Tamandua tetradactyla: one gene and its partner. The protein of the gene in region 1 purifies or fractionates together with the protein of each later gene. This does not show direct contact. Links are inferred from orthologs where the notes say so. Each region holds a gene or a part of one and is shown in the gene's direction. Other genes may lie near its edges.

The links.
Region 2: the proteins of COX6B1 (region 1) and CHCHD4 purify together in Homo sapiens (co-immunoprecipitation; 3 studies listed by BioGRID and IntAct, with this or other methods). This does not show direct contact. The link is inferred for Tamandua tetradactyla from reciprocal best matches to the Homo sapiens genes COX6B1 and CHCHD4.

Annotation. Positions count from the first base shown.
Region 1 is NC_135342.1:30,360,850-30,369,675, reverse strand, and holds the start of COX6B1 (cytochrome c oxidase subunit 6B1), read left to right. Parts: upstream 1-4,740; 5' UTR 4,741-4,875; intron 4,876-6,459; 5' UTR 6,460-6,470; coding exon 6,471-6,576; intron 6,577-7,694; coding exon 7,695-7,795; intron 7,796-8,826. Other genes in the region: ETV2 (ETS translocation variant 2), read left to right, coding at 114-177, 290-367, 593-652, 920-1,399, 1,768-1,880, 2,145-2,303. UniProt on the Homo sapiens protein: Component of the cytochrome c oxidase, the last enzyme in the mitochondrial electron transport chain which drives oxidative phosphorylation.
Region 2 is NC_135335.1:33,896,621-33,906,101, reverse strand, and holds the start of CHCHD4 (mitochondrial intermembrane space import and assembly protein 40), read left to right. Parts: upstream 1-5,996; 5' UTR 5,997-6,074; coding exon 6,075-6,105; intron 6,106-9,047; coding exon 9,048-9,146; intron 9,147-9,481. Other genes in the region: TMEM43 (transmembrane protein 43), read right to left, coding at 1,505-1,516.

The DNA of each region.
Region 1 (8,826 bases):
CTCCTGGGTCTAAAGAAAGCAAGAGCTGGGTCCCATCTGGAGTCTCTAAGTGCCACCAGCTCACCTTTTGCTCTTTCACCTTTCTTGGCCCAGAACATTCCAAACAAGCATCCATGGATTTGTGGAACTGGGATGAAGCATCACCACAGGAACTGCCTCCAGGGAACAGGATCTCAGGTCTGCATAAGTTGCTGGGGCTGAGACAGTGTGTGGAAAGGGTGCCTAGATGGGGTCCTGTGGTGGGGTCTGTTGACACCTGACCTAAACCTAACTTCCTCATTGCCTGCAGCAGGAGCTGAACTTGGCTTCTATTTCCCTGAACTGGCACTCCAAGGGGACAGGCTGACAGTGGAGACATGCTGGAAAGGTAGCTTCAGGCTGGGCCCCCTGAGTACTGGGAAGAAAGGGGGGAAGCTGGGCTCCTGGGTCTGAGTGGGAAAGAGGCTGCATGCTTGGACTCCTGAGGTTGAAGGTGGAGGGGTCTCAGAGTCCTAGTTCTGAGTAAGTGGGTCCTGGAGCACTAATTCCTGGGTGGGGGGCGGTTAGTCCCTAGTCATTGCTCACACCTTCCCCACCATCTTATCCCTGACAGGGTTCCCACAGTTGGACTGGGGCTCCGCGTTACCACAAACAGACACTACATGGGCAACTGGTGAGTGTTTGGAGAGGTGGGGGATGGCGGTCCTGAAGCACTGGGCCTGCAAGCTTAACTTCCCCGATCTTTAAGGGGGAACAGGGCTGGGACTATGGATGCCTGTGTCCTCAAAGTAGCACAGCCTGAATCAGGGTAACGGCCTCCACCACCCCAAGGAATCGGGAGCGGGGACCGAGGCTTGGAGCTTAGAATCCAAGAAGCCCCAAGGGATCCGGGGCCTGGACATCTAAAGTCCCCTCACTTGGGGTGTGTTCCTCCACACAGAGCCCACCCTGCCGGCTCTTGCCTGGTCAGGAGACAGGACCGACCTGGCGCGTCTCGGCGCTGACCCTCGGAGCCCCGTCTCCCAGATCCTGGGCATCGCCCCTCCGGACCCCGTCACCTCCCACTTCGCGGGCTCTGAAGGGCCGGCGGGCCTAGACAGGAGCACCTTGGCGGCAGGGGCAGCGTCTTGGTCTCACGCCCACACGGCCGGGAGCATCCCCAGCTGGCCCCGATGTTCTGTCGGCCCCGATGCCGCCACCTACTGGGATGAGGGCCTCGGTAGGGAGTCGCGCGTGGACTATACCATTTCGTGCGACGGGCCTGAGGGCTCGGACTGTACCACTTCCTGGGACCTGGGACCGCAGACGGCTTGCATGGCCTCTTCCCAGAGGCACCAGAGTTCAGACTGCATTTCCTCCGAGCAAAGCCAGCAGTCGGACCGTCCCACATTAACTTGTTACCCCAAAACTAACCACCGAGGTGAGAGGACCGCGAAGACTGTGTCCTGCAGGGAGTCTAGAGATAACCTAACTTTGGGGCGTAGGGGGCGGGACCGGGAAAACTGGTAGCGAGGGGGGCGGGGCTGAAGTACCTCAGTGCAGGAGAGAAGAGGGGATGGTGGTTTTCAGGTCTGGGTCCTGAGGGAGGAGAAGGCTGTCAGACACTGGTAGGCTTCTAGAGAGCGAGGGGATGGCACACAGGCTACTGGATTTTGTGAAAGAAAAGAGGGCCCCGAAGCCTGGGTCCTCGAGGCACTCTTGGAGTCCCCATCAAAGAGGGGACTCCTGGGTCACCCAAGTGGCGTGGACTGGGGCCAGAAAACCTCTCACCCGCCTCCCATCCCTCAGGTCCCATTCAGCTGTGGCAGTTTCTCCTAGAGCTGCTCCGCGATGGGTCGCGCAGCAGCTGCATCCGCTGGACGGGGAACAGTCGCGAATTCCAGCTTTGCGACCCCAAAGAGGTGCGGTCGCTCTCCAGCCCTGGTCGGTCCGGCTCTACCCTCGTCTTGCTCAATCCTGCAGTTCCATTCACCCTACCTAGTCTTGGCCCCGCACCCAGCGTCTCCTGGGCTAGGTCCCGTCCAACCCTCTGCCAGCCTCATCGGGAGCTTCGACCCCATCCTTGTCAGGGGTGTTTTCTGTATCCTGGCCCCGCTCCTCCTACCCAATCACTAGGTCCCGCCCCCTTTCCTGCCCTTTCTGACTCAGCCCCGCCTCCGTCCCAGGTGGCGCGTCTCTGGGGCGAGCGCAAGAGGAAACCCGGAATGAATTATGAAAAGCTAAGTCGCGGCCTGCGCTACTACTACCGCCGCGACATCGTGCGAAAGAGCGGTGGGCGCAAGTACACGTACCGTTTCGGAGGCTGCGTGCCCGGCTTGGCCTAGCGGGACCGCACTAAGGCGGACAGAGAGCTGTGACCAAATAAAAAATATCCCATCAAGCCTTGTAGCGCGTTCTCATCTGTGTTCTTCCCACTGACACTGAACAGACCCGCCCCCGCTGGGGTACCTACGTGTGCACCACCACACCCGCTGCTGGGCCATCGAGAAACAAGGGTGAGCAAAACAGACCCAGCCTTTTAGGGGGCCAATTGTGTGCCCACACTGTGATGTGACCTACAAGGGAATTAGATCCAGTGCCTCTAGGGCCTACTGTGTGCCTGCCCTGTGTTGGGACAGGTAAAGGAATCAGACACAATCACTAACTGTGTTGGCCCTAGAGAGGGCATAGAGAGGACTAAGACTCAGAACTCCAAAAAGAGCTTAGTGTGCCCTCTCAGTGCTGGGGACCATGAAGAAATTAGACCTGGTGCTTGTCCCTCCACACCACCTAATCTGTTTCCCCAACCCAGACTAGGGAACATAGAACTCGGACCTAGGAGACCCTACTGGGTACTACCCCATTCTGGGAACCACTGAGGACTCAGATCCAGTCCTGAAAGAAAGCCTACTATGTTCCCCTACTGTGGACAGTGCTGGGATACAGCAATGGTCATGGCAGCCCAGAGACCTGCCCTCAGGGAGCTCACAGTCCAAGGTGGAGATAAAACCATTGCCAGACAGGGGCAATCCAGATTGGTCAGGGCAGGGATGGGGAACCCCAGGGGGTTGAGGGAGCCTAAAAAGAAAAACTTGACCTGGAATGTGGGGGAGGGGTCCAGATAGGGGAGTCCGCTGATCTGAGAAGTCAGCTAATTAAAGAGTGTTCCAGGCAGGGAGAACAGCATGAACAAAGGCCTGCAGGTGAAGATCTCATAGCACTGTTCTTACTGTTCAAGGAATTGGGAATGTGGCTTGGGAATATGGGCCAGCTCACATAGGATCTAAAGCCATGGAGGAGTTAAATAGAGGAGTAGTTTCAGCTTTAGGAAGATTTCATTGAAAGGTGGTGGTGGGTGGGTGGATGCAGACATGTGAACAGGTAGGTTCACAAATAATTTCAACATTGATAAACACAGAATGTATGAGAGGCCCCTGACCTAGTTAGACCTGGACACTGCACCCAAGACAGTATGTGGGAAGCTTAGAAGCCACGCTGAGAGGAGGGAGAAAAGCAGTGTGCTTTCACAACTCCTTCTCCCAGCTCTCAGATTCCCCCTTCATTCATACAAGAAATGCATTCATTAATTTATAGAGCACATTCTATGTGCCAAGCATTGTTGTAGGTGCTGGAGTCACAATGGTGAATAAGACAGACAAAAATAGCTCCTTTATGGTGCTTCTATCCTAATGAGAGAGATAAATAAGAGGTAAACATTTAAAAAAAATTAAAAAAAAGGAAGGCTATAGTAAGTACTATAATACACGAAGAGATAAGTGCTGTGTAACAATAAAGTAGGGAAGGGAAATCTGAGAAAGACTCTCAGAGACATTTGAGCAAAGGAGATAAGGGAGGGAGCCATCTGCAGGAACAGCATTCTAAGCCAAAGAAACAGCAAGTGCAAAGGCCCTTGGGGGGAAGCTAGCCTGTACGTTTAAGAAACTGCAAAGTCAATGTGGCTAGTGCAGTGAGAAGGGTAGATGAGAATATTGGGGGCGAGGGGATGAGGCAAGTAGATTGTGTAGGCCATTTGTAAGGACTTTAGCTTTTGCTCGGAGTCAGACCAGCAGCCGGGGTAAATTCTGGACTGAGGAGGGATGTAATATGACACAGGTGTCAACAGAGTTCTTGTGGCTGGTTAGACAAAATGTGGAGGTCAGCAGAGAAGCCAGAAGGCCAGGCAGAGACTACTGCAATAGTCCATGATGGAGTTGACGGTGGCGTGAACCAAATTTGGCAGGGGAGGACTCTAGATACATATTTTAAGGCAGAGTGAACGAGATTAGATTTGGGAAGGGAATGTAGGGTCTGGACAATCCAGTCAATGACCCCAGGAAAGAGATTAATTCGTTTCAAGCGATTAGTTCGTTGATTGTCGTGGTATGACAATCAACCCCGTAACAATCATAATAAGGATGGGGGTTTTGTATTTTGTACAATAATGTATCCCCAAAACTTACACAAGAGTCTGGCTCAGGATAAACGCTCAATAAATATTTCTTGCATGAATAAAAGCACCTCTTCTGGGACATTCTCCCCGAGACAGTCTTCTCTCCAGCCAGTCCCGGGACTCAGAAATCTTTCCCCCTGATACAGTCAAGGTGAAGAGAGCCTGTAATTTGGCGTCCCCAACTGCTGCTCCTAGTTATCTGAAGAGCCACACGAACTCTCTTTTGTCCCGGTAGTGATGTTAAACATGCATTTCAAAGCCCAATGGGATGTCGGAGTTCGAAGGATGGGCGGGCCCAGAGTGACTTCCGGGACTCGGCTACCCATACGCGCTGTAGGCGCGCTGTAGACTACCCAGTACCCGGCTTCGCCGCACTTCCGGCCAGTCTTAATTCCGCTTCCGGTCCTAGACAGACGTTTGGGCTGAGGGTCACATTGAGCAGCGAGCAGCTTCAGAGGCGCTGCTAGGTGAGTGTGGGGGCTCAGATACCTGGGACCCTAGTATGGGGGCTTGGGGAACCGAACCCCACTTCCCCGAGAACGGGATGAGGGTTCCAGCTGGTGGCGTCCTACATCCCAGTGTGCCAGCCCCGGGCCTTGGTTGTTCTGTTAATAATAACAACTAACGTTTGTGGAGTTCTTCCTTATTGCCCAGCAACCTTCCAGGCGATTTAGTTAGATTGATTCTTTAATCTTACCCCCAACCCTGACTGAGGCTGAGAGATAATAAGCTTCTTAGTCGAGGCCGTAGCTACTAGGGTTTAGACCCATTAATTTGGACTGCATTGCTCTTAATCACCAAGCCGCGGGCGTGACCCCCGGGGTTTTGTTTGAGCCGCAGCTTGACTCCCTGGTGGCTGATCCCGCTTCCCCCTTGCACGTTGGAGGGACCGCAGCGTCGTTCCGGATCCACCAACACCCCCACATATTGGGTCGAGATATCACCCGAAGCTCTTTAGACGACTCTGTCCCAGCGGCTGGTGTTTTATAGTCCTCCCTCTCCGGAAGGACTGTTTAGTGCTACCAGAGCCCCAACACTGCCTTGGGCCGCTTGAATTGGACACCGGCCGATGCACCTCTATGTAGTCCATGACTCCTTGAATTTCTGGAATACAGAGGCCATTTCTCATAGGTTCCATGGCTACTGTGTGTCCCTTTTTTAGAGACATAATATCAAATTTTAACCCTACGTCCACAGAACTAATAGGTTTCAAGGAGTGCTAGTGGTTAAATGGGGAAAAAATTATATCTGTTTTTGCTGGCCTCCAATTGAAATGTACCATTTCCTTCCCTTTGGAATGGAGGCAACAATCTCAGAAGCATGGTTATTACTGCTGTGATGCTTCTGGCACCTGTGACTTTTGTCACCATTTGAAATCACAGATGTTCTTATATCACATTAGTTGTTGCAGATATCACAAAATAGTTTTACTTGTGGTTAAATCAATACTATGGCAGTTAATAAATCTACAGCTAGATATAACTGGTTTTCTTTTTGACCCAGTGCAGTTTTTAATGCATTTAAACATATTCTGAGAATGCGGTTTGTAGGATTAATCAAACCCCAGAGCAGTTCATAGCACCAAAAAGATTAAGAACCTCTGCAGTGTATGGTAGTCCAGTAACTGAGTACAGCCCCATCAGTTGTGTGTGGCATGACCTTGGGAAGTCACTTAGATGTCTGATTCCTTCCTTGTCAAGAAATGGGGATAGTAATAGTTCTGACCTTATACAGAGGCTGTTAGAGGAGTCAAGTATGTTGAACAGCATCTGGCCTGTAAATTTATTCAGTAATGTAGCTAGTATTATTTGGGATAAGAGACTTGATTTTGCTAAGGGTTTGCCCCAACCTGTTATGACTTCCACACCAGATGTATGGATTGGCCCTGCAGTTCACTTGTGTGTGAGTGTGTGTGTTAGGGGAGGGGAGTGATGACTTCTTTATACTCAGCCCAATTTTCTGGATTTGGGCCTCATTTGGTCCTGGGTGGGCTGAGATGCCCATGTCTAAGCCCTCCAACCCTTACCAACGTCCACCCACTTTGCCTCCAGGAGTCAGCATCATGGCAGAAGACATCAAGACCAAAATTAAGAACTACAGAACTGCCCCTTTTGACAGCCGCTTCCCCAACCAGAACCAGACCAGGAACTGCTGGCAGAACTACCTGGGTAAGAAGGGTGTGGTCATGGGAAAGTGCAGACCTTCCCCTAGTCCCAATCCTCAAGTCCCTCACCTCTTACCTACTCCTAGAGGACCCATGCACCTTAACACTGGTCCTGGACGCTACTTTTATTCTGAACATCATAACCCTGGAGGGCCCATGCCCTCATTAACAATCACCTCAGCATCTGAACCAGTCACAAACTTTGGTTCTTACAATGATTTTTAAGTGTATGTGTGTGTGTGTTTGTGTGTGTGTAATGAAACATATGTAAAACATAATGTAAGCTAAAACAATAATTCTAAAGTGAACCCCTGTACGGCCATAACCTGGATAGAAAAATAGAATGTTGCTAGTACTCTAAACTCCCCAACCACTACATGCTCCATCTTGAGCACAACTCCCTCCCCCTACTAGAAGTGTAACCAATATTCAATATTATATCACATTTTTGGTTTTACCTCCTTGTTTTAAGTTTGCCCCTTTGTGAACTTTATAGTACTCTGTGTTCTTTTTGGCTTTCTTCATTCAGTTCAGGAATCTTATATGCTGTGGTATACAGTATTCCACAGTTCTTTCCATGTACACTTGTGTGGCTTTCAGTTTGGGGCTTTGATGAATAGGGCTGCTATAAACATTCATAGAAATGTAATCCAATGCTGTGTGCATGCATTCCTGTCTAGGAAATGTGCCCAGGAGTGAATTGCCTTTTTGTTTGTTTGTTTTTAATTTATTTTTGTTTGTTTTTATTTTAATGAATTACCTATTTTAAAAAAAAACAGATTATTCCTTTCCCGCCTTCCTCTCTGGAACTCCCAGCACCTTATCGTCAAGATCATTTTCCCCTTCCCTTGCCCTGGTTTTGGGCTCCATAATCTGTGTGCTAATGCTTCCCCATCATTCCTGATCCCAGTGTTTACAAGTCAGGCAACAGTTCTCTAGTGGATTACAAAATCAGTTTAGTGAGTTGTGCTCAGCCCTTTTTAATGGATTTGTTTCTTTGTGAAACTTCTATTTTCAATATGTGTGTGTGTGTGAGACTGATCATGAGGTATAAAATATTTCCCGCTGTGAGTTTTGGTCAGAAGTGTGTTCAGAAATGACCCTGAACCCCTTTCTTTACAGACTTCCACCGCTGCGAGAAGGCAATGACTGATAAAGGGGGTGACGTCTCCGTGTGTGAATGGTACCGGCGTGTGTATAAGTCCCTCTGCCCCATATCCTGGGTAGGTGCTTCCTGTTGGGACTCTTGGGATGCAGGGGCAGGTCCGAGCAGAGGAGAGTGTGGTGACTTGGCGGGAGCTCATCTCTAAGGGACAAGGGAAGACAAGGTATAACATTGTCTACAGGGCTTTTGCTGTTTCCCCTTCCCGGAATTGCCTCCCTTCTCTGACACCTCTTAGCCAGGGAGGGCTCTCAGCCATGACCACCAGAGCTGTCTCCTTGCTGGAACCATCTTTCTCACTTTTCAAATTCATACTCAGTATCAGGCCTCTGTACCTGTGAGCTTCTCTTGTCTTTTTTATAAGTATTTTCAAATATATGTAAAATTAGAGTAGTTCATTGATCCCAAATATGGCCATCATTCGAACTGAATAGTTACAATGATTTTCTGCATTTGCCTCATCTGTCAGTTACCCCCCCCCCCAACTTTTCTTCTGGTGAAGTATTCTAAAGCAAATCTCAGACATGTAATTTCACCCTCTCCTCCTTTAGTATGGATCTCTTTAGAATACCACCATTTTGCAGTCCTTTTTGTCCTGATCTGTCCTGTCAGCACTTAGTGCTCTTTGCCATGCCTTTTATTTTTTTTTAAATAAAGAAAATTTGTTTAACGTTACCCTGTTTTGTTAAATCAAAGCCCTTATTAACTGCAAGACACATTGAAAGGTGCTAAAATTGCTGAAAGGGAATGTAACAGGTGCTAATTTCAGTGATGTTAAAATGAAAAAACATGTGTCTCAGACTAAAAATATGATACTATTGCAAAAGTAACTACTCATATAAAAACAAATGTGAGTGGGTACATGGGTGGTTCAGTAGTAGAATGCTTGCCTTCCATGAAGGAGACCCGGGTTCGATTCCTGGACCATGCACCCCCCAAGAAACAAAAAACAAATGTGAACAGTATAGTAAAAAAGTGAAGCTCTTCAGTACTCTCCAGCTCCCCTCCCCAATGGTAACTGCTATTAATTGATCCCCCTTTTTTCTCAATAAATTTATCATACACAGGCTTATGGAACTTTGTTAAGCGGCT
Region 2 (9,481 bases), on another chromosome or scaffold:
AACAGTACCTCCCTCACAGGATGGCCTGCCTGTTCCACCCTTCCATCTTCAGTTCTCTCTTCTTCATTCAGTCTGGTGGCTCCTGTAAAGGTGCATCCAGCTACTGGATGAATCTTCAAAGGCTTAGCTGCCAATGTAAGTCTAAGTGAGTCTAAATCCTTGGCAAGCGGTGAGGTCTCAAAATACACAAGACGGTCTCTGCCCACCAGGACCATCCAACTTTGAATGTGAAGACAGACACAGAGTGTTGGACTATGTGGAAGGAATTTTTTTTCATGTATTAAGTACCTTATAAGAGAAATCATCAACTGGTCCCATTTTACAGATAAGGAAACATAAACTCAGAGAGATTAAGGCCACACGGTTGTTAAGCAAAAGAATCTGGATTTGCTTCCAAGGCTGCCTGACTCCAAAGCCTGCCTTTTTCAGCACCTCCCCATGACACAGCCTAGGAAGCTGGTGTGAGAGCCTGGGGAAGTGCCCTCTTCTTCTGCTGGGGAGGGTCTCTATATGTCAAATGTTGTAGCTGTGAGGGTCAGATGGGAATGTCCCTGCTGGGGGTAGGCTGGCCTCCTGACTGTTCCCGATAACCGTCCTCCCCCACAACTCTCAAGGGAGGGAGAATGAGCTAAGGCTGCGAATTACACAAACCTGGCCTCTCATGGGGTGAGAGAGGCAGAGAGGACGTTTGGGGACAGAGGAGGTGTCTGTAAAGAGCGTGTAATAGGCTAGTGGACAGAATTCAGGAGACTCCTCTGAAGGAGGAGGGAGGGTGTGTCTGGGCCTGGCAGGATGCCCAGGCTGGCTCCAGAAGCACTTTCACCGAGGAGGGGAGTGATGAGTCACCAGCTTCCCCCACACCCAGCACCCTCGCAGGTGGTGTGCCACTCAGTTTGTTGAATGAATGTTGCCGAGAGAGGCTGGCTGCAGGGAGAAGAGGAAGCTAACTCGGGTCATTGCTAAATGACCAACCTTCAGCCAGAACCTCTGAAACCAAATCCAAATTAGGAGAAGGAGGAGCCCGGCAGTAGGCAAACGCTCCCCTTGGCCGGAATCCCAACTTCCCTGCCCTCATCTCGGTTGGTGTCCTTCTGCAGCATTAACAGCCTACAGCCTTGGACAGCTCCCCCTGGCCCGGGGTCGGCCTCTCCACCACCTCGGCGCACGGGACCTCTCTCTGGGGTTGCACTCAGCTCCCGCATTCCGCCAAGTTCGAGAACCCAAAGGGGCCACGCGGGAACTGGGAATGAAAGGAGGGGACGCAGGGAGGCGCCACGCACAAGGAGATCCCACTCCGGGAGCGACACATCCCGCGTCTCCCTCCCGAGGATGAGCGGACAAATGGGGCCTGGACAGGCGAAGAAACACAGACGAGCAAAGGGAGACAGGCAGGGGGCCGACCGCACGGACAAGGGTCAGACAGAAAAGCCCGGCCGAGACGCGGATAGGAGGCCCGGGTGATGGGGAGGTCTGGGTGTGGCCCGCCGGACCAGGAGACACTCACATTCGCGGCCATGGTAGGACCCGGCTTGCTGCCGCCGCCTCGATCTGCTCAACTAGATGATTGGTGGGCGACGGGAGCGTGGAGTCCGGTAGCCTGCTAGCCCGGAGTTGCGAAGGACCGCACGGTGCCAAAACAAGTCGATTCTTGCTACAGTTACCGCCCCGTGGCTCCATTCTGTCTGGGCATGCGCTCCGCAAGGCCTCCTGGAAAACGTAGTGCGAGCGGGGCTCAGAGTCGTGGGCGCTCGGCACAAAATTGCAGTACGCCCTTATCTCACTGGTGCGCCTGCGCGTTGCAAAGCTTTCTGGGAACCGTAGTTCTTACCGCTTGGCGAGCTACAGGGCGTTGGGTGGCCTGCTGGGAAGTGTAGTTTCCGGCTGAGGGGTCGGGCCGCGTCTGGGAGTGCGCGGAACAGGCGCGCCGCGGGCAGGCTTAGAGGGGGCGGGTCCGCGCGGGCTTTGGATCTGCGCGCTCAGCTTGAGGAGAGGTCACGGCGTGAAGTAGCCGCCACCGCCGCCACCGCCGCCGCCGCCGCTGCTGTTGCTGCGAGGTCTGAGCGCCGGGTAGAAGCGATGTCCTACTGCCGTCAGGAAGGTAGGGAGAGCAGGCGGGCAGGCTGCTATGGAGACCGGCCTACGAGGGCCCGCAGGGGACATGCCACTCAGGTCGCCCTCTTAGACCCCGGCGTCCGGCGATCCCACTACCAGCGTGGCCAACGCGAGGTGCAGCCAGGGGAGGGGTACCTTCTTCGCGTCCTGGAGCAGGTCAGCGGTGGGGTCGTCACCCTTACGTGCAGATGAGAAAGCCGAGGCTCTGGGAAGAACAGGGCTGGTCCAAGGTCATGGTAAGGTTCGAACCCCGGCCTTAGAGGGAGCCGCACTTGGGAGACTAGTAAACTAGGCCCGGAGGGTGTATGGGAAGTGCTGAGCACGTTGCCTGGCCCGTAATTGGAAGTTTATTGTTATTATTACTCACGTTCTCACTACGTACCACGTGTTTCCCATATTGCAAGCTTCTTGTAATTGTCCGTGAAATCTTTCCGCTCAGGTCGCGTGCTGTGTTATTGTAGCGTTAGTCCCACTAGTGGGAACATTTATTGAACTCCCACTGCTTATCAGGCATTGTTCAAGGAGCTTTACATGATTTATCTCATTGACCTCGCAGTGACCTGTCAGATTGTGTGACCCCATTTTACCGACTATATAGTAAACTAAAGGCACAGAGGGATTAAGTGATTTGGCCAAGGTCACGCAGCCAGAAAGTAGTGAGCTGGATTTTGAGTTCTGGCGATCTGATTCCAGAACTGGATTATCCAATCCGCAACCTTGTGGATTCCAGGAAGCCCGCTGCTGGGAAGATCTGTTCCCCCCACATGCCACAACATTGAACTCCACCCACACCCCTTTCTGCTCACTGTTGTTCCCTCTGCACAAGAGCTCAGAAGGCTGGGGGGCACCCAGGGGCCCACACACACACAGACACTAATTCCCTCCTAGTCCTAGAGCTGTCACTTAACCCAGTTTCCAGCCTTGTTAAATGAGAAGGTGGACTTCATTCATTCAACAGATGGTCATGAAAGGCCTTCTCTTTGCCAAGGAATGGTGGATACTTGAGAGTTTAAGACGCCATAGAAAGTTGGAACTCATCCAGAGATTTTTTGGCCCCCTCAGTTTCATTAAGGGAATGTGAAGCCCAAAGAAAAGGGGTTAGATCATGTAGCTAGTTAGGGACAGAGCTTCATCTAGAACTCCAGGCCTTTACTCCAGTACCCCCCTGCTTCTAGAATCCCTCTGAGTACTAGTTCCATTAATTAATAATTAATAACTGCTATAAAGAGAAATCCTTTGTTCATATGTTAGGTCTGTTGTCTTACTTTTAATTCCCATTCTCTGAGTTGCTAATTCACTTCTTCATTTAAAAAATAATAAAAATAATTTTCGAGCCTGTTAGGTGCAGTGAAGCTGTGCAGGTAAATAACACCTCTCCTTGTTCTTGAGGCGTTTACAGGGGTCACAGTTTCTCTGGGAAGGAGGGGCAGTGTCCTTCTGCCACCAAAGCATGGAGCTCTGTCATTTCCTGGTTCAAGGGTTTCTTCTCTTTCTTAGTTTGAGGATGAGAATTGGAAGCACTCACTTTCAAGCCTTCTTTAGTTTTTATCTTATCCATACTACCAGCCCCTAAAAAGCCCCCAGTTTTTTGTTTGTTTTTTTCTGCCTACTCATCTTTATGCTTTCTCTGGGACTTAGAAATATGATCCCAAACTCTTTACCCTATAAGTGCTTATGTGATCTTATCCCTCCCTTCACCTCCAGCCTCATCTTCCACTCCCTCCTTTCCCTGCTCTGCTCCCTCTAAGCTGGCTTCCTGGCTTGGCCCTTCCTCTGCCTGGAGCATCCTTCCCCCTGCTCTTCCATGCCTGGTTCCTCATTCTTTAAGGTTCATATCACATATCACCTCAGAAAGGCCTTTGTGTCTTCCATGAACTAAGTTCTCTGAAATACCTTGCTCATTTTTTGTCATTTTATTTCTTGCCTATCTTCTTCGACTGAGCTGAGAAAATTAGCTGGGCTGTATCCCAAGCATCTAACACGGTGCCTGGTAGACAGTAGGCACACAAATCTTGACTGAGTGAATTCATGCAAGTCTCTGTTCACCTTGATCTAATTTACTTTTGGAGTAATTACCCAGCCTTCAGGTAAAAGGCCTTAGCTTGGCATTCAAGGTGTTCTCCAGAGAGACTTAGCCTCCTTCTCAGGCCTTGGGCCACCCTCACTGCTCTTTGTCAGCCCCATCGTGTTCCTTTCTTGGTTTTCCTCATTTTCTAGTGTGGTTTCTCTTGTATTTGGTTAACAAACGTTTATTGAGTACCTACTATGGGCCATCCAGTGGCACATAATAGTTAGCAAAGGTAGCACAGTCTCTGTCCTCATGGCCTCCAGTGGAAGAGATGGACATTAAAACATCAACAGGTGAATGTGTAATTACAAACTGTGAAGAAAAAGTCCAGCATGCCATAATTTACAGAAAGGCTCTGCAGGGTCAAGGAAGGCTTCTAATCAGCTACAAATGCTATTCAATTTCATTCAATTCTTACTCTTCACTACCCACACACCACAGGTTAAAGACGGCCCCAGGCCAGTTACACTACTGGCTACAAATTTGCGGGTTTCTACCATCCTCTTGGGTTCAATAATGTGCTAGAATAATTCACAGAACTCACTGAAAGTGCTATACTTACTATTGTAGTTTTATTATTGTAAAAGAATACAGAGTAGAAGAATCCAAAAGAAGAGAAACATAGGGCAAGGTCTGAAAGGGTCTCAAATATAAGTTTCTGTGCCTTCCACTTGGAATCAAAACAGATCACCCTCCCAGCATAGCAGTGTATATTAAAATCCTGGACGCTCACTTGAGCTTCTGTTACCCTGAATTTATATGAGGTTTCATTATGCAGATATGAGAGCAAGCCTTTGGAAATTCCAAAGACTTAAGATGGTTACCTCCTAGGAGTCTGGACAAAGGTCAGACTTTTTTCTGGAGGCCAGCTACACAGCAGCTTAGGCTTCATGGTCAGAAATAGAGCGTGGAAGAGGGTGGTCTGGCTGACTCTGCCTGGCAAAGAAAGCAGGTGATTCTGAGCTAATTCTAGAGTTGGCCTTATGGAGGAACCCAACCTAAGAGTTTGATGTCCAAGGACAAAGGACTCCTACAGTTACCCTACACAGGGAGAGCAGAAAGGGATGGGGCTGAAGAGTGGATTAAGATGTATGTGAGGTTTTTCAATAGCCATACTATCAGAGCTGGTGAGTGCGCCTTCTCGAGGTTGAGCTCCAGATGCCTTTTTAGCCCAGGATGACTGTCCTATAATCATTCTAGCACGAAGGAATTGCTGCTACTTGGATTTGAGAACTATATTGGGCTCCAAAGGATAGGAATTCTTGTGGACCCCTCAGCCTTCTTTTATTTTTCTTCTATCGGTATGTTCTGTAAATGTCCAAGAAACCTACGCTTTGGTATAAACATTTGCTTGTAGTCTTAACTAACTCTAAAATGTAACAGATTTATGGATTGAATTCTAATAATATTCATTTTAACAGCATTAATTTATTCTGGTAGACGGTGTTTGAAATTTTTATTGTCTTCTTACAGAGTACTTGCTTCTCTGCCAGCATAGGACCTTTTCTGTTAACTGGGCCTATGCTGTTGTTATGTGAGGCCCACAGCTCTCCATGGGGGCTCTGCATGACTGGGACCCCTCTGCTCACCCTGCAGAGCCGTGATAGGGAGTCATCTGGCCGTCACTGGCTTCGAGGCACTAGTTCTGTGTTAAGGCCACCTCACTTTTCTCCCATGATCATTTAAGTCTGTTTGGAAGTCTAAAAGGGTATGACATGGTTATCTACATTCCTTCTGAATATGCTATGTCAGCATTGTGATTTTTTTTTAAGATTATCTTGGAAATAAAAACACAAGCATTTTTATTCATCCATAGAGAGTCCCTGAGAAATTTTGCGAGAAATACTCGGCTAGCTGATTACTTGAAGCCTTCTAACTCTACTAGTTGTCTGTCATGACTGTTTCCACAGTTTGGTATATTAAAGGTAAACAAGTTTGCATTTGCATCAGTGTCATTTTTTTTTTTTTCTGTGTGCTATGCGGTGGGGGTCACATTTCCATGTGAATATCCTATTATTGCACCATTATTGTTATTTTTTTCCAAGTGCATGGGCTGGGAGTTGAAGCTGGTCTCCTGCATGGCAGGTGAGAATTCTACCACTGAACACCTGTACATCCCAGTGTCACCTATCTTTAAATGCCCCAGGAAGCAGAGGTCTGGGTCCATACAGTCTATTGTGGTGGGACAGGTGTGCAGTGGGCAGTGTGTAAGGTGAGGTGAGTCCAGAGCATGCCAGGGTTCTTGTTCCTGCTCACCCTTCACTTGTCCATGGGTCTTTGGGTCAGTTCCTTACCACCTCTGAGCCTCCATTTCTTCAATCTCTGTTAAAAGATAAAAGCAAATCCCCACTTCATAGGATTGGTGTGAGGATTAAATGAGCCAGTGTAGGCAAAGTGCATTGCATAGGGTCTTTAGTTTTAAAAAGTTGTTATTCTGCTCACCTCCCTCTCCAGTGTGAACTGTGCTCTCAGGCGAGTGTCCAGAAGGAAACTGTGAGGACCTTGCTGTGTTGGAAAGATCTGAAACTTGGGGGGCCTGTGCCAGACTTTGTTGTATGTTGATCACCTCTGAAGCCTGGGAGCAATCTGGGCATGCCGGAGAGCTTGATTCTGCTTTTTCTGGGCCTTACCATCTGACCGGGGTGAGATCTTGGTAAACAAAACTATCAAAAGCTGAGAATTTGGTGTCAGCTTATTCTGCTTGGCTGTCAGCGTTTTTACTGACTGCTTTCAAGTGTTTTGTAGACTGTCCAGAATTGCCAGGGTCATCAGGTAGGTATGTTAACATGACTGACTGCCTGGCCCAAATCCTTTCCTAGGGCCATGGGGAAAAAGCATTCTAGTCTGGAATAACATGTGAGGTGTTGAGACGGAGACCAGAGCTGAGCACAGAAACCTCAGGTCAGGGTGGATGGGTTTTCCTATCACCTATTCTAAGAGCTCCTGCTTACTATTGTTAAAAGAAAAACTTTTCATGCAATTTAAGATCTCACAGCTGTATTGAGCAATTCCTCAATTGGGCAGCATCCCATTCAGAAAGCAGGGAGCTTCATTCAGGGAGTGGAAAGGGGAAGTATCTGATAAGCTATCTCTTCTGGACAGGTTTATCACCAGATATTACTTATCTGCAGTTTTCTGGGATCCATCCTTTGTTCCATTTTCTCAGAAAGTCCCTGTAGGTCAGTTGTTTTTGTCTTCTGAGAGATGAAATCCTTTCTCAGAAAGGGATCCCTTCTAGCTGTGCCCAATGCAGGCGACCTTTTTACTTTGCTTAAACTATCACCCATATGGAAGTCCCTGTGCAGGTATGGAAAGGGTAAAGCACAAAGGGGGCCTTCCCCCTGTCCCTTGAACTGCACTCACTGGAAGAGTCACTCTGATTTTTATTGCCACCCTTGTGCCCTCCTCCAGCCTCTTAAATATTCCAGTCCCAAGCATGGGCTCCAACCTTTTACCTTGGTTTTCCTTAGCATACCTGTGGCAGAACTTTCTTGAAGGAAAACAAAACAGCAATAATCACAGAAAATGCTAGCAGCTTCCAGAGAGCTGCATTTCTGTAGACCTGCTCTCTGCCTCCATGGTAGCTGACCCTCTCAGTGACCAGGGCACTGCCTCTAGCTCCTCTGTCCAGGGGCTCTTTTGGAGGTATCTGAAGAAGTCTTCCTAAACACTAGGGATCACCCATCCCGTAGTAGATAAGGGGCCTATGATCCCAGATCATCTGGGGTCAGAATGGAGAGCCATTAGGGCCATGAAATTTATCCTTGCCCTCTATCAGGTAGGTACCCAGAAAGATCTATTTATTCACTTAATTCTAAGTTTGTGACGGATTGGATCAATATTTATTGTAGGAAGCATTTATTAATGCCAAGGCACACAAAGCTCTCAGGCTGATAAGTATTTCTGGGTGTGGAAAGGATCTCCACACTGTGGATGTGAGAGACAGAGCTGGGTCCACATTCCAGCTGTGCCACTTGCTATGTGAGCTTGAGCAATTCAATTCCAGAGCCTTAGGCTCGCTCTTGTAACATGGGGGTACCACTAGCTGTCACCTTCCCAGGGGTGTGAGAGAGTTGGTGGGATGCAGAGATGGACTGACCCCGTCCCTGCCTTCTGGGGACAGTAGGGGAAGCCACTGAGCATGCAGTGCTCTGAGTACTAAGGTAATAGGCAAGGTGCTTATCTTACAAAATGGGGATATCTTACAAAAACCACCATGTGGGAAGCTGATGCCCAAAGTTTTTAGGAAGGTATGAGGTTACGTGGCATACCCACATGTAGTAGTTAGATTCAGTTGTCAACTTGGCCAGGTGACAGTGCCTAGATCTATTGTTGTGGACATGAGCCAATGACGTATGAACCTCATCTGTTGCTGATTACATCTGCAGTCGGCTAGGAGGCATGCCTGCTGCAATGAATGATGTTTGATTTAATTGGCTGGTGCTTAAATGAGAGCGCTCACTGTAGCACAGCCCAAGCAGCTCAGCATACCTCATCTCAGCACTCGCAGCTCAGCCCAGGCCTTTGGAGGTGCAGAAAGAAATCACCCTGGGGAAAGTTGTTGGAACCCAGAGGCCTGGAGAGAAGGCCAGCAGAGATCACCCTGTGCCTTCCCACATGAGAAAGAACCTCAGTTGCAAGTTAGCTGCCTCTCCTCTGAAGAACTAACAAAATAAATCCCCTTTTATTAAAAGCCAGTCCGTCTGTGGTGTGTTGCCTTCTGGCAGCTAGCAAACTAGAACAGCATGAGTCACTCTAGGGTTTCACATGGGACTTTCTTCCAACTTAGTTATGTGGCTGCTTTGGATTTAAGGGTACTTCAACTACTTTTAAATAAACATGTCTTCCTCTGTCCTCCAAACACCAGGGAAGGATCGAATCATATTTGTGACCAGAGAAGACCATGAAACTCCCAGCAGTGCAGAGCTGGTGGCTGATGACCCTAATGATCCATACGAGGAGCATGGTGAGTGGTGGATGTCCTGGGAACACAGCATGAACTGGGTGGGAATTTGGTGATCATAATTCCTTTCCCATTTTGTCCTTGCCAAGGCTACATTTCAAGGTATCCATTGTAGAGTTAGGGAGCAGTCCACAGGACCACCTTAGATTCTGATAATTTGCTAGAAGGACTAATAAAACTCACTGAAAGCTGTTATACTTATGGTTTTGTTTTATTATAGTGAAAGGAGACAGATTAAAATCAGCCGAGGGAAGAGGTACATTGGGGCAGAGCCCAGGAGAGTTCCAAATGTGGAGCTGCCAGTGGTCCTCTCCCTGTAGAGTCCTGGACAGCGTTAA